2 linked regions of the Notamacropus eugenii genome follow. The protein of the gene in region 1 interacts with the protein of each later gene in a biochemical or structural test. Links are inferred from orthologs where the notes say so. Each region holds a gene or a part of one and is shown in the gene's direction. Other genes may lie near its edges.

Region 1 (7,833 bases):
TATTAAACCCTTAACTGTAGTAAGAAACAAAATAAAACAGGTTGCTGAAGGAGCTTAGATTTTTCCTAGAGGTAGGGAGTGAACATTTCATATATAAAGAAGAGACTGAGGCTTGAATGGAGAGTTAAGAAATTGGAAGTAGGGGCTTCCGTTAGGGAGCCAGTAATGAAATGAGGAAAGCTTGAACTACATTGGTAAACAAATGAACAGAGAGAAGGAAGAGACATTTGAGAGGTGATACAAAAATAGAATTTGTGAGACTTGATGACGGATTGGTTGTCAGTGATGGGGAAGGAGCCAAGAGCTAAGTATGATTGGGTGAGGAGGCACAGGTATGGGGAAGTGAGAAACCTAATAACTGTAAGGATGGTGGTACCCAAAAGAGGGAAGTTAGGAAGCTCGAAAACTGTCGAGACTCCTTAATAGAATTCATTTTTTAGTGGTTCTTAGTTTAATTTTTAAAAAATTATTTGGTGTTCTGTTAATTTAGATAGTTTTACAATTAATCCTTCATTTCTTTAAAATTTTCAGCATTGCTGACTAAATATAATTGTGCATAATATGTATTATGACTGTTTTATTTCCTTGTGATTTCACCATGTTCATTTTTATTAGTAATTTGATTTTCCTTTTTCATCAGGTTAGCTAAAAGCTTATTAATTTTGTTAGTCTTCACAGAGAACTAGCTTTTAAATTTTATGATCACTTACAGCATTTTTGTTTCCAAGTTTATCTTTAATTTTTAAAATCTTTTTTGTGTGCTGATTTTGGTGCTGTTTGATTTTCTAAAAAGTTAAGTAATGCTCTTGTTCTGTTTATGCATGTTCTCAGAAATACATTTTTTTCTAAGTACGGTTTTTTCTGCAGTTCAGAAATCTTTTACAATTTGTCTCATTGTTATTCTTTTTTACAATTTTTTTTTCTATGATATGTTCTTTGACTCATTCATTTAGCAAATCATTCTTAAGTCCCCATGTAGGTCTGTATCCTTTTATTTTAATTTCATTAACATCAGTAAATAATGTAGTTGTTTCTGCCTTTTATACATTTACTAATTCTCTGTGCCCTGGCACATAGTTTATTTCTATAAAGCTATCATATAACATCCAAAGATCTTTGCAATCTTAAATGCTAACATCCAGAGAATTCCCTTGCTTTTCCAACTCTAAATTCTCCAAGTGTGTTCAGTTCTATATTTTCCCTTTCTGTTAGATTTTTCTAGGTCAGAGAAAAGAACATTTAAGACTCCTATAATTGTTATTCCTATGTCTTTTTGTAATAAAGGTAACCTACTTTATGAATTTAGATGCTATACATTTCAATTGAAATTTCTAAAAAAATTTGTTATGGTCATTGTCCATGATTCATTTAGGTTTAAGGTCTCCATTTTTTTTCCCTTTCTACCCCTCCCACCCACTTAGACAAAGACATACTTTTATTAACACATGCAAGTAGTTGCCATAATAGTCTGGAGGCAAGGGAAAATTGTCCCTCTCCTCCCTTCCCTTGTAATGGAAAGTACTAAGTATAATCTCAGAATCCTACCACATTCAGTGTATGAGAAGAAAGAAGAAAAGTTTTATCTCTCCTGATGCTGTGAATATTTATTTTTGCTTGTTTTAGCACAATTAGCAATACCTGCTTTTATGGATTCATCTGACATATATTTTGTTCTTGCCTCTTATTTTCATTCTACACTTCTCTTTGTTTTTTAGATGTATTCTGGTATACTACATTTTGTTAGGTTTTGTTTTCTTATTTTGTCATTGTCTTTCATTTTAATGGATTCTTTAATCCATTCACATTTTAACGTAATCTGTTAAGCTTGTGTTTTTCTCCATTTATGTTGTAATGTTTTGGTCCCCATCCACAACCTACTTTTAAAAAATTTATTAAATGAAATTTTTAAAAATTCTGTACTTAGCACCAAATAAAATGAGCATTTCTATATAGAGAAGCAGAACAGAAAAATAGAATTGCATTTGCACTTCCTACAGTTTTCTTCTCTTTGCAAGTGAAGGAATTTGTACAAATTCAAAATGTTATTTTCGAAGCTGTTCTGGGAAACTTACATTGTTAAAAAGAGAAGCAAACCAACTGACAGCTTGGGATTTCTGCCAGTACTGTTTTGTAATATATAAGAATATTGTGCTTCTTTTAAAAAATGGTCTACTTAAAAGAGCCTTTGTTGTCAGAGAATACTTGAACAGAGTCACTACATTAATTCAATTGAATTTTATTATAAAGTGCCTGGTATATTCTAATTTGACAACTGGGTATAATGTATTACATCTGTTAATTTGAATGCCTTAACTAGAATGGTATTTATAAATCCTATTTTTGGAAAATTTTATGCAGAATTTTGTAAAAGTTAGGCTGTCTACTTAGACTTATCACCTTTATGATTCTGCCTTCTACTTCTGGTGAAGTAACAAAACATGGTGGATCGGTAACTTGTTTATAATAGGGAATGAATTTAAGTGTTTAGTATTTTTTTTAAAATACAAAACCTTTTACATTGTTACATAAAATATATTTTTATATTATATGTTATAGAAAACTATATTTTATATACATATAAAACATAACATCTTTATTTTAAGATTAACCCACGAACACTCCTTTTTTGTTTTTTATATTTTGTAAGCAATTAGAAAGTCCCTGGCTGTTATTCTCTTAAGTTCAAAATAAAGTATTCAATCCTAGATTATTTTGGATATTTACTATCCATTTTATGCCTTCCCCACATTTACTGTGAATCTATAGTGCTTTTGTCCCTGTGTCATCATTCCTCTTTACTTTGTCCACTTCAGATAACAATGAGATTTCTGTGTTCTACGATTTTATTCTTTTCATAATTTCATATCCCAAGTTATTGACAGTTTGTTGCCATGAGCCCAACCATTTTCTTTTTCTCTTCATATCTAGCTACATATAATTACACTTGTATTTTCTTTCTAAATTTTACTTTATATATTTTGTTTGTATGTCATCTTTTTTCTGAACATAGTCTTCCACTTTCTTTTATCATCCCTTGTGATAAAGAATAAAAAAAGAAAAAAAAAAACAGTTTAGCAAACTGAATACCAAGTCTTACAGTATATATAATGCCATCGTTCCTCCCCTACCCCATAAAGAAAGGTGGAAAATGAGTTTTAACCTTTTTTTTCTCAGTTTTTCAGTGAAATTTGGTAGGTTGAGTTATAGATAGGTTTTCATTCAACAAACATTAGGTGGCCTAATGTATGTAAAACTGTGATAAACACTGTAGGTTATGATTGAGACAAGTAATAGACGTTTTATAGATGCTTTCATGATTTGTATGAACATAATCCTATGATCTTGGGGCATAAGTCCTAAAACAGAATAGTATTTTCACACTTGAGAGTGAATTTATGATTTCCTCTATGGGTACAGATTACAGAAAATTCATTCCCAGTCAACCTGTATGATTCTTGTCTATGTTCTCTGATAGATCTCTATCTAGTTGTATTATGCGTTCCTCAGATATTTTAGTGTTTCATAATTAGTGCAATACAAATTGTATGTCTGTTATCTCCTTTACTGCACTACTTGACCAACCTCATTTTCCAAATATATATTTCCTTGATGTTTTCCATTGAAATGACAACTTATTTTACAAACTTTTACTTGAAGTTTACCTGTTATTTCTAGATTAAAAGTTCTCATTCAGGAGTTCAGAGGATTTTTAGTGCAAAAATACTGAATCGTTTAAGGCAGTTTTTAAAATTTAAGACTTTGATTGTAGTTGGTAGTTCCTGTTTAAAAAAAACAACACTATACACACTATCCTAAATCCTTACAATAAGGATTTTTGTTACATTTAATCTTATTTTGTTACATTAATTTTTCGAATTGTTTCTATACTTGATAGGACTACTGGAAACTGAAAAAAGTAAATTATTATACTATGTAATTGTGTGTATGTAGTAGTCACTAGTGGACTGACACTGGCAAGTTCATAGTTGGAATTGATGGTCATTTTAAAAGCTGTCTATACATTAAAATGATCTCTTCTCACTTGGGATGTTGGCAGTAAATCACAAGATTTAGAACAGAAAGAAGGAAGGACTCTGAGATGAATCTAGTACAAGTCCTACTGGAAGCATTTGGTATAACTTCATTCACATTGCCTTTGCTTGAAGAATTCCAGTGATGTCTTCAGCATACGATTTGACAAGCTGTTGAACTTTTGGATAGCTTTGCTAGGAACTTTAAGTGTAAAGCCAAAAATTCTTGCTCTGCACCTTTTACTCATTTGCTGTATAGCACCAACCAGAGCAAGACTAAACTCCTGTTTCACAAACCCTTCAAGAGAGACTTGTTACTGCCTCCTCTCTAGGTTTCCATTGTGTTTGCTTTTCAGTGAGTTATTCCTTAGTGATCCAAATCAGGTCTAGATTATCAGTGTTCTAATGATCAGTTATCACCCCCCCCCCGCCCCCCAGCTGCTTTAAACAGTTAAACCCTAGTGAAGTCAAGAATGCTAAAAGTAAAAATAAAAAGCTGTTGGAGAGGTATGAACAAGTTCCAGATTTGCTACTGTGTTCTGCTTAGAATGCTAGGTTTATAGTCTGTTTCCCCAAACCCACCATATATTTCTTCTTTCTTGGTACATAATCAAGCAAGAAATCATATGTCAATCATTTCACTCTCTGATCTCCCTAGGTCCATGTATCTTCACCTTCTCTCTGGCCATTTTCTGCCCTGCTTCTGCTTCAAACTGGACCTTCAACCATGCCTAGGAGGTGCTAAAGCACTCTGTTATGAACTCCTTGAGCCTATGCAGCCTCATCTTTACACTGGCCATTTTCATCCTGCTGCTGACCCACCCTCCAAACCAGTCCTTCAGAGACCATTTCTGGAAAAAGCTATGACATTCAACTCTGAACTCCCTGGACCCCATTTATTCATCCTCATCTTTACCCTGGCTGTTTTCAGATTTGTTACTATGAATATCTCTTAACCTTCCACCTCTTTAAGTAATCAAATCAGCTTTACCGTTAGCTTTGTAAAGGTTTTGTCAGTGATCTGCCCTACTGTTACATACATCATCGATGAGAATACCTCTTTCTGGCTACCAGTAAGGGAATATTTTCTCTCCTTATAATAAGCTTTAGAACAGGGAATGTCTCACTTTTGTTTTTGTATCCCTAGGGCTTGTGTTTGGCACACATTAAACATTTCATAAATGCTTTTTCATTTATTTGCTAAGTACCTATTATGTGTCAGGCAATATGCTAGCTGCTGGGGATTGAACAAAAGTTAAATAGTTTCTGATACTAAAATAGGATAGGCAAATACACATATATAAACATACAAATACATGTAAAACATATTAGTAACTCAGGGGGTAGGAAAGGCCTTATTCTGATTCTTGGAGGAAATTACAGATTCTAATAGAAAAGGAGACCTTTCTGAATATAGAGGACCAACAGTCAGGCAACAAGCATTACAATGTGCCAGGCACTGTGCTGAGTGCTGGGCTACAAAGAAAGGCAAAAATAAAAGTAAAAAAACCCTACTCTCAAAGAGGATGTATTATGAGGGAAACAGCATATGAATATGTACATAGAAGGGAATAACAGTATATGTAGAGAATCTGAAACAAAAAAGGAAGGCATTATTAGTAGCTGAGGGGACCTGAACAGCCCACCTGCAAGAAGATGGGATGGTGAGCTAAGTCTTGAAGGAGGGTAAAGGGCAGGGCATGCTAGTAATGAGGGGATATAGCCAGTGCAAAAACATTGAGTCAGGAGGTGGAGGTCTATGTGAGAATTTTCGATTGTGTAGAGAGGATTAAAGTATGTAGAAAAGTAGGAAGGGGTCAGTTTGTAAAGGTCTTTAAATGCCAAATAAAGGATTTTATATTTCATCCTAGAAATAATAGTCTTTGGAGTTTATTTGAAATGGGGGATGGGTGAGAAGAGGGCAGGGAGGTATAATTTGGTCAGATATGAATGGAGTGTTAGGCAGGGAGACCAAGTAGTTGACTGTAATATTCCTATATGTCTTTTTTCCACTAATCCCAGTAATATTCCTGTATGTCTTTTTTCCATTAATCCCAGTTTTGTACTGTACTTTTTCACCTCACTCCTTCTTGGGTTTCCTCACAGGAATATGTCATATTGATCTACATGACCTGCTGGCTACATTTGTGGTCTCTCTTTCATGATCTCTTGTTTATCACCCAGAATTTGTACAATTGTTTACAGACATCTGAGGCCTTGAAATTTCATTAATCCCCCTTCTCCTTTGATATTTACCAATGAGCAGGAAGGCATTAAGTGCCTATAATTAATTGATAGACACTATTTTAGGATCATAGATTTTAGATCTGAAAGAGGCCTTCAAGGCCTTTGAATCCAACCCCCTCATTTTCTTTTGTATCTGCTGCTTATTGTGATATATGGCTTGGTAGCTGGCATATGGCATGTAAGCAGTTTCTTTTCTACTCAGTTTTCTGCTTAAAGGCCTTTAGGTGAGAGTGCAGGTTTTCAGGCCGATTTTAACTGTTGAAAAATCCACATGGCCTTCTCAGATGCCACCTTCTTAACTGATCACTCACAACATTTTATCCCCCTCTGAAGCCCCTATCTTTGATCAGCAGTAATGATGAAAAAATGCCACCTGCACTCTTAAAGTGTTCAATCATACCCAAGTGTAATGCCTAGCTATAGGAGTAGGAATTCCTTCAAGTGTTCTCATTTGTCCTTGGATGAATTACCAGAATTGAGTAATAGCTGTCTATCTGGCTGTTCTCAAGAGTTTCTGCACATAATGTATGTACATCTAGTGAAGCTATCATCTCTCCTTATTTTTCATGTCACCTTAGCATATAATTGCTTCATTACCCTCTCAGAGTGATCAGCCAGTGCTAATTATATATTTTTTTTGCTGCCAAGTATTTGATAGGTTTTCTCCTAGTAGCATATGTGAGATTCTTCTAGTCATTCCTTCAAGCTAGCAAAGCTTCTCTGCTTGAGGTGTGTGGGGGGGGTGGAGTGGGGGGGGGGCTTCTCTCTGGAAAGTTCCTTTAATCTATAGCATAGGATTCTTGAATGATAACCATGGTTATCCTGTTACAATTGCTGTGGCAAGTTTCTTGTTTCAAGACCCTCACATTCCTGGTTGTCATTGTTCTTAAAATATAGGGTTCAGAATTGTATGTAATATTCCAGATGTGGTTTGGTTGGGAATAATGTTTATAACATATAAGGCCCTTGTTATAGATCCTAAAATTACATAATTTCATGCAGCCAGAAATTAAATATTTTTTGGCTGCCATGGCACACTGAATGTTATTTTGCTACAATTCTTATTTTGAAAACATAAATTTCTTCTAATGTGATTGATATATCAGGAAATAATTTGAATTTCACATTTTGCTTATGTTCCATTTTTTTCCCCATGAGAAACACCAGATTAATACATAAAACTGTACTTAACTGAGAAATATGGGAGTACACAAAACACACATGCACATGTGTCAGACATCTGCCTGCTACCTCACATAAATTATCTTACGAGGCTGTATTTTTCTCTTCTTTCATGTTTGTGAACTTTTCTATATATACTCATTAAAACTTGTCTAAACATCCTTGCTTAAAAACATCAGTCAGTTCATGCAAAAGGAAATCTGTGAGTACTGGGGAGAAGTTTGAAATAATGCATTTAAAATAAATAAATTGTAAACAAAATGGAGCGTCTGACATCTCCCCAGCAACAGAAATAAAGAAATTCACATTGCTGATCATCAGGGGCAACCTATGAAAATAAAAGAAATATCCATGACTGAGAAGTGTTGTTCTC
Region 2 (7,763 bases), on another chromosome or scaffold:
CTTCTTCGGGCACGGGAAGAACATTTCCAGATGTTAAAGGAGCCCCCAGAGGCCGTGGCCACCCCTGAAGCCCTCTCTGATGAGGATCTGCCTCTGGACCCTGAGCTCTATCAGGACTTCTGTGCTGGCGCCTTCGATGACCATACTTTGGTGAGGGGCTGGGCCCTGTTCCTTCTTGTGCAGATTAGACTGGGCCTCTGGAAAGCCCCTTCACGTAGGTCCTTTATCTGTTTTCTCTGCTTAGAACCTTGGAGTGTCTTCTCCAGCATGAGGTAGCATGAAATACGGACTGGGTGCTAGATTTGGGGTGTAAGCATGTGGGTCGGAAGTCTTGGGATCTTTAGGCAAGTTATTTCACCTGGGGCAAGTAATAAGATTGGATTTCTACAGCCTCCAAGGTCTATTCCAACTCTCAATTTAGAATTTTATGTATTCAAGGGGAGAGAAAGGACACTCTTTTTTTGTCGTGGCTCGGAGCCTGTAGTGGTTAGACAGTATTCCCCAAAGGGCCAATCAGTGCCTTTCTGCTGGCTCCTTCTCAACCTGGTCAGAGCAGAGGGGTGATGGGCTCAGTGGCCTATGCCTTCCTGCTCCCAGCCATGGTTGAGTGACCCTGAGGATGCACCTTTCCTGGACCCAGTACTTCGGAAACGTGCAGTGAAAGTAAAACATGTCAAGCGGCGGGAGAAGAAGTCAGAGAAAAAAGTGAGTAGCAGGAGAGGCGGTAGTGGTGGGCAGTGGGGAACTGTCCAGAGGCTCACCAGCTTCCCCCTCCCGCCCCAGAAGGAGGAGAAATATAAGCGTCACCGGCAGAAGCAGAGGCACAAAGAGAAGTGGAAACACATTGAACGCCCAGATGCCAAAGACCCAGCCTCCTTGCCCCAGTGTCTGGGCCCCAGCTGTGTCCAGGCTGCCCAGCCAGGCTCCAAGTACTGCTCTGATGACTGTGGCATGAAGCTGGCTGCCAAGTGAGGATGCCATCCCCCCATCTCTTGCCCACATTACATGAGGCCTGACTTCTTTCCCCATTTTGTCCCACTCCTGCTCTTCTACTAGCAGAAAGCTATAGCTAGTGTGGCTCCTGGGGAGGACTCCAGAGACCAACTGCCCTCTGGGATCCCTTCCCATGCATATCTTGCCCTCTTTCCCTGGCAGTCGTATCTATGAGATCCTACCCCAGCGAATCCAGCAGTGGCAGCAAAGCCCATGTATCGCAGAAGAACATGGAAAGAAGCTTCTGGAACGGATCCGAAGGGAACAGCAGGGGGCTCGGATGCGCCTGCAGGACATGGAACGTCGCTTTCACGAGCTGGAGGCTGTCATCCTCAGGGCCAAGCAACAAGTGGTACGCGAGGATGAGGAGGTGAGGAGGCCAGGTTGTGGGGAGCCCCTGGGAAAGGAGGTGGTACTCACAGTCTCACTTTGGGGCTCCATGGTTCCCTGTTTGTAGAGCAATGAGGGAGACAGCGAGGATACGGACCTGCAGATCTTCTGCGTCTCCTGTGGCCATCCTATCAACCCCAAGGTGGCATTGAGGCATATGGAGCGCTGCTATGCCAAGGTGCCTAGCCCCTCAGCAACTTGGGGAAGTTCCTTAGGAGGGTAGCATCCACTGGGGTGGGGCAGGCCAGAAGGGGTAGTCCATGTCCTTTGGAGGGCAGGGTCCAGGTTGGTTTGGCCTGAGGAATGGGGGAGTGACTGACCTGTGCAGGGGGGACAAGGGTTGGGGGAGAGATAACGACTGCCCTCAGAACAGTGGGGATGGGCCACGCTGCCCTTCACAAAGTGGGTGCCTTCTTAAGAGACTGTCAGGGGAACAAGTCCCTGCTGATGAGGGCCCTGGCTCTGTAAAAGGCACATTCAGGGCATTGTGGGATCTTAACCTTGTCTTCCACAGTATGAGAGCCAGACATCCTTCGGGTCGATGTACCCCACCAGAATCGAGGGGTGAGAGAGGGCACCTTGGGGAAGGGGAGGGCAGGGAGAATAGAGTCATCTTCTCACATTTCTGATAAGCATATGGTTCCCTTGCTCCTAACCCCTATCCCACCAGGGCTACTCGCCTCTTCTGTGATGTCTACAACCCCCAGAGCAAAACCTATTGTAAACGCCTGCAGGTTCTGTGCCCCGAGCACTCCAGGGACCCCAAGGTGAGTAAATTGTGCTGGGGACATAGTCTTTGCTATCATCTCTTGTGGTCTTGTGCATCTCTGATGACTCATTTGGCTTGTGTGCCTGTTTGGGGGAGATGCAGGTACCAGCGGATGAAGTATGTGGCTGCCCCCTGGTACGGGATGTGTTTGAGTTGACGGGAGACTTCTGTCGCCTGCCCAAACGCCAGTGCAATCGGCACTATTGCTGGGAGAAGCTGCGAAGGGCTGAGGTGGATCTGGAGCGTGTGCGAGTGGTGAGACTTCTTGGTTTTGCCTGTGTGGACTTCAGGCAGAGAGGAGGCTAGAGCACCTGGCATGGGGTCTTGGGCCCAGTTGGAGGCCCTCTCCATTCTGCCAGCTCTGGGGGCACACTGTCACTTCCCATGGATAAGGGCCTGGAGCCTTGGCAAGGTGGGGAGAGGAGCGAAATGAGGTTGGACGAGTGAGGTGACCTGCCCTTGGAGCTGGGGGAGAGGCCGGATTGGGTTCATAGGGAACGGGGAGGTCAGCAGACTTCATGCATGCACAAGCTGAGATCAGTGACCAAGTGTTTATGTGACTGGTACTGAGCTGAGCTCTGGAGATAGAGAAAGCCACAGATGACAACTCTGTCCAGATAACTAGGTGGGATCCATTGGGGTATCTCCGAGGGAGGGTGCTAAGGTTAAGGGGATCAGGAAAAAGAGTTGTTGCACAAGGGCAGAACTTTAGCCAAGACTTGAGGTGAGCCATGGAATTGAGCAGCTAGAGATGCAGATGGGGAGAGTGCCAGGCATGAGGGATAGCCAGAGAAAATGCTCTGAGTTGCAACAGGAGACTGTTTTTCTGGGGGAGGGAACTGGGACTGAGGCCAGGTAATGCATTCTCACCCTGTGGAGGTGTGGGGTGGGGGAAAGCAGGTGGAAGGGTGCAGTCCTTCCAGCCTAGAGGAGCAGTATGATAATTCCTCACACCCCACCCTGGCAACAACAGCAGCAACCAGAGCAAACGTAAGGGAGAGAGCTGGGCCTGTCCCCATGAAACTCCACAGCCTTTCCCTTTTCTCCCATAGTGGTACAAGTTGGATGAGCTGTTTGAGCAGGAACGGAATGTGAGGATGGCCATGACTAACCGGGCTGGCCTGCTGGCCCTAATGCTGCACCAGACCATCCAGCATGACCCCCTCACCACAGACCTGCGTACCAATGCTGACCGCTGAGTCCAGCCCTGAGGAGATGGCCCTCATGGCTTGGGCCTCCATCCCCAAGTGTGGCTAGATCCCTTCCTTGGCCTGTGGCCAGCTTGCCATTCTACTCCCCATCTCCTCGTGCCCTTTTTTGCTTCCTTTGTTTCTGCCCTGTCCAGCCCTACTCCTCAGCCCTTTGGGTCGCTTTAGTCACCCCTTCGTAACCTTGGTAGCCCACGCTGCTCTGGTGACTGATGTGGCGGGTTGAGGGGCCCTGTGGCTGAAACTCCAGAACTGAAGTTTGTTCACAATAAATTTGGGAAGAAATCCACCTGTGGCTTCCTTTTGCATCAGCTGTTGTGTGACTCTGACCCCCACCCTGGATGGGGTGGGGCAGAACTGAAGTTCAAGGTGTCTGGATGCCAGACATCCCGGAGTGGCCAGTGAGAGGTCACTGCAGTCTAAGGAGGGGGAGGGCTCTGAATTGAAAACTGACCCATTTTGCTAATGCTACCTTTGAGGCCTAGACCTAGTGTGGGTTTTAAGTTGGCAGCTTCCTTCATACAAGTTCATCTCATTTCTTCACTACCACCCTGGCACAGAGCTACTGCTGCTGTGCCCACTTTGTAGGTGAGGAAACTGCCTGAAGAAGTAGGAGGGTCACGTTTTGAGTGACCCAGTTAGGATTTGACCTTAAAAGTGGCTAAGCACTCCAGTATCTCTGCCAAGCAAACCCCAAATGGGGTCCTAAAGAGTTGGGCCTGGGGCCAGGGCCTCTGAGCACCCTCTAACTTGTGATGAAGGCTGGGAGGTGCTTGGTGGTCTTTGTGGATGCAGAGCAAAGGCCAGGACCCATGCTCCCCCCAGATATCAGGCTCTGCTGTTTATTGGGCTGGGGCTAGAGAGGTGCATGCCCAGGGACCACGAGAGGGCCTGGCATAGGCTGCCTGGCTTGGCCCACCCTCCTTTCCGGGGAGACCCTCTGAGTGCAGGGGAAGGGACACCTGCCAGAGCCAGGGCCATGCCCCTGGGGTCTAGGGCTTAAGCCTGAGACTGGGGAACTTGGGCTCGCCTCCTGGCCCCACCCCCACCCGAAGGCCCCGCCCCTAGCCCAGCTGGCCCTCGCTTGGCCTGGAGCTGGGACTGCGTTGGAGTGGGGGCGGGGCAGGGCCGGATTTCCGGTTCCGGGTTCTATGGACAGTGGGCTTGTTGCCGGGGCAGCTGGGCCTTCTAGAACGGGCAGAGGACGCGGACCGGGCAGAGGGGAGCCGGCCGAGCAGGTAGGAGGGAGCCTGACCGCGGGGTGGGCTCTGGCCGAGCCGGAGGCGTCGGGGCGGGGGCCCGGGGAATTGGAGGATTCCTCCGGCGGGGCGGGCAAAGGCGCGGAGGCGGGAGAGAGAGCAGGTCTTCGAAAAAGGCCAGCCTGGGCGCAGGGGGAGGGCTACGGGGAGGGACCGCCGGGCCGGGGCGCGAGGCCCGGGGGTAGGGAACCCGATCCCGCGCGCCCCCCGCCCCCCAGCCTCAAGTAGTGGCTTCACCTGGGCCTTCCTCGATAGCCCCCTGGCAGGGAGCGAGCCCCTGGCAGGGGGCCCTCCTTGTGTGTCCCCTCCCAGGGTGGCCTGCCATCCTGGCACTTCTTTTTCTCTTCCAAGGCAGCCATTTTACCTCTGCTTCCCCCATCTTAGGGCACCTTTGCTGGACTCAATCACCTCAGGCCCTGTGGGGCACTGGGGACTCAACCCTGGCTTTTACTGCTCTGTTCCTTAACCTCCAGCTATTCCCTCCTCCTTCTTTGGCCTCAGTTTCCCCACTTGTAGATAATTCTGCCTAAGACTGTGACCCTAGGTAATGCCTTCCATTCATTGGGTTCTTCTCCTGGGAAGGTCTGAGTCTTTACTTAAGGGCTGGGTTGAGGACCTGGGAGGTGGGGGGCAGGTGAGGCAGACCTATGGGCTCAGGGTCACCCTTTTCCCCTCTGAGCTGGAGCCTTGGACTCCCAGCACCCACTGACCTGCTTCCCCTCCACAGGCGGCCACCTGTGGCACTGACCACTCCTTACCTTGGTCCTCTATGGCTGAGGACTGGCTGGATTGCCCTGTGTTGGGCCCTGGTTGGAAGCGCCGTGAATCCTTCCGCAAATCCGGAGCCTCCTGCGGCCGTTCAGATACCTACTATCAGAGGTAGGCAGGACCCATGGTCTTGATGGGGTACTGCAGGGAGGTGGGCAAGGGGTTGAGAGCTTTGAGTTGCACTTGGTTCTGGGGAGGTGTGGATGGAGCTTCTGGGCGACCGCACCGTGCCATCACTCCTGGTGCCATGCCCAAGCACTGCCCTAGGTGGGGTTGGAATGACTGCCTTGGGCCTGGTAGCCTTACCCCTACCCCCAACCTCTCAGTTGGGTTGATGTGGGCATGGGGAGGGGAAGGGAGGAGACAATCAGCATTTCTAAAGTGCCAGGCTATGTGCCAGGCCTTGTGCTAAAGTATTTTACACATAATTTTATCACAACTGCCTTGAGAGGTAGGTGCCATTGTGCTTCTCATGTTATAGCTAAGGCAAGTGAGAAAAAGGAAGAGTTGACTTAAGCCAGGCCACACAGCCAGTAAGTGTCTGAGGCAAGAATTGAACCCAGGCCTCTAAGTAAGAATTTTTCTTTCTTAAGAGCAGAGGCTAACCATGGACTCAGCTGCATTGGACCCAAGGGAGGGGGCAGTTAACTGTGGCTAAAGCAGGCCTTGGAGTGAGGGTGGTAGTTGGGAGGAACTGCTGAGTTCTTTGGCGCTTCTAGGCTGGACCAGGAACATTCAGGGAAGCATTTCTCCCCCCCCCCCCCCCCCCCCCCCTCTGGCTCTCCACTGCAGCCCTACTGGGGAGCGGATCCGAAGTAAGATCGAGCTGACCCGATTTCTGGGGCCAGATTGTGACCTGAGCCGCTTTGACTTCAGGCACGGTGTTCTTCAGTACAATATGCCTGCCAAGGTATCTGTTACTGCTAGGGAGAGGGAAGTGGTCAGTGAGACTGCCGGGAGGCATAGGGCCCTTTGGGAGTTCTGCTCTTGTACCCTCAGGCATCTCAAAAGAAGAAGAGGCAGCCTTGGCACAGGAAGGCAGTACCATCTGTCAAACAGAAGCAGTCTCAGCAGCTCAGGTTCAGTCCTCCCCCACCCCAGGACCCTCAGCCTCGGTGAGTGGGAAACATGCTGGCACATCCACCCTCCAAAGCCCAGTGGGACAGCAGCTGTGGGGGTGGGACAGCAAGCTGTCCTCCAGGCCTTTGAGGCTGCTGCCAACGTAGTGTCCCTTTGGCACCCCTGGGAGGGGACAGGATGAGATTCATGAGTGAATGGGTTGTCCGTGTGGTCCTTGCACCCCCACTCCCCCCCCACCTGGGGGGGTTTATTGGCTGGACTCCCTTGTTTCTCAGATGGTGTGAAAACTGTGGAGCCAGCCTCTTAGGGGACAACACTGGGCGTCAGCGACTCCGGTCCCTGTGTCAAAACTGCCGAGGTGGGTTTGGGCCAAGCCCCAGGCTGGAGCGTGGAGGAGGGGCCGCCCTTGGCTATTCGTACAATCTCTTCCTTTCCTCCCCCAGCTCGGAGAAATGCCTTCAACCGGGAACAGAGAATGTTCAAGGTAGCCTTGCTGCTTAAGCCCCCACTTAGGGCCGACCCTTGGAGGGGAGACTGTGGGGTGTGACCTAAGCCTTGGGATCTCCTGTTTCCTTGGCAGCGCGTGGGCTGTGGCGACTGCGCAGCCTGCCGGGTGACCGAGGACTGCGGTGTCTGTAGCGCCTGTATTCGCCAGCTTCCTCAGCTCCCCCGAAGCCAGTGTGCGCAACGCATCTGCCTCAAGATTACCAATAAAGTCAGTGGGGCTCCCGGGGCCGGGGCGGGCTTGGGGCTGGGGCGGGCTTGGGGCTGGCCCCTCACGCTGCTCTGGCCCTCACTCTGCTCCCCAGAGTTTCCGGTGTGGCCTCTGTTCTGCTTGTCAAACCAAAGAAGATTGTGGGATCTGCCGAATTTGCAAACGTAGAGAAAGACCGGGCCTCAAGAGAAGGTGGAAGTGTGTCCAGAGGCGCTGTCTCAAGGTGAGTGAGCCCTGGGCATCCAGCAAGCACCTCAGGCCACAGGCAGATTGGTGAGCTGAAGGTTACGGAACAGACCTTGACTCACCCAGGCTAGCCTCCCTTTCTTAAAAAGTCCAGTTTTCTTTATTGTTGTAAATATCCAGCCCTTTCACTTTACAGAGGAGGAAACTGAGACTTCCCCACAAAATGGCCCCAGTGAGCCCCGCCTCCCTCTCTACAGTTCAGCCCCCAGTACAGTGTTCTGGGGGTCCCCTGAGTGCCTGGGCATATCTGTGACTCACAGCCCCTTGTCTTCCAGAAGCGGATAATCAAGAAACCTCTAGGGTTGGCTACTAGGAAACTCCCAGGCACATGGCGC

The links.
Region 2: the proteins of ATF7IP (region 1) and uncharacterized protein form a complex in vitro, tested with the Homo sapiens proteins (2 studies listed by BioGRID). The link is inferred for Notamacropus eugenii from reciprocal best matches to the Homo sapiens genes ATF7IP and MBD1.

Annotation. Positions count from the first base shown.
Region 1 is NC_092874.1:196,063,707-196,071,539, reverse strand, and holds the start of ATF7IP (activating transcription factor 7-interacting protein 1), read left to right. Parts: upstream 1-4,689; 5' UTR 4,690-5,078; coding exon 5,079-5,104; intron 5,105-7,833. UniProt on the Homo sapiens protein: Recruiter that couples transcriptional factors to general transcription apparatus and thereby modulates transcription regulation and chromatin formation. Can both act as an activator or a repressor depending on the context.
Region 2 is NC_092879.1:101,936,374-101,944,136, forward strand, and holds the start of uncharacterized protein, read left to right. Parts: upstream 1-4,489; 5' UTR 4,490-4,511; coding exon 4,512-4,598; intron 4,599-5,346; coding exon 5,347-5,498; intron 5,499-6,179; coding exon 6,180-6,297; intron 6,298-6,386; coding exon 6,387-6,502; intron 6,503-6,742; coding exon 6,743-6,825; intron 6,826-6,910; coding exon 6,911-6,951; intron 6,952-7,047; coding exon 7,048-7,182; intron 7,183-7,276; coding exon 7,277-7,405; intron 7,406-7,703; coding exon 7,704-7,763. Other genes in the region: CXXC1 (CXXC-type zinc finger protein 1), read left to right, coding at 1-150, 598-968, 1,156-1,363, 1,451-1,561, 1,898-1,947, 2,054-2,150, 2,255-2,407, 3,205-3,351. UniProt on the Homo sapiens protein: Transcriptional repressor that binds CpG islands in promoters where the DNA is methylated at position 5 of cytosine within CpG dinucleotides. Binding is abolished by the presence of 7-mG that is produced by DNA damage by methylmethanesulfonate (MMS).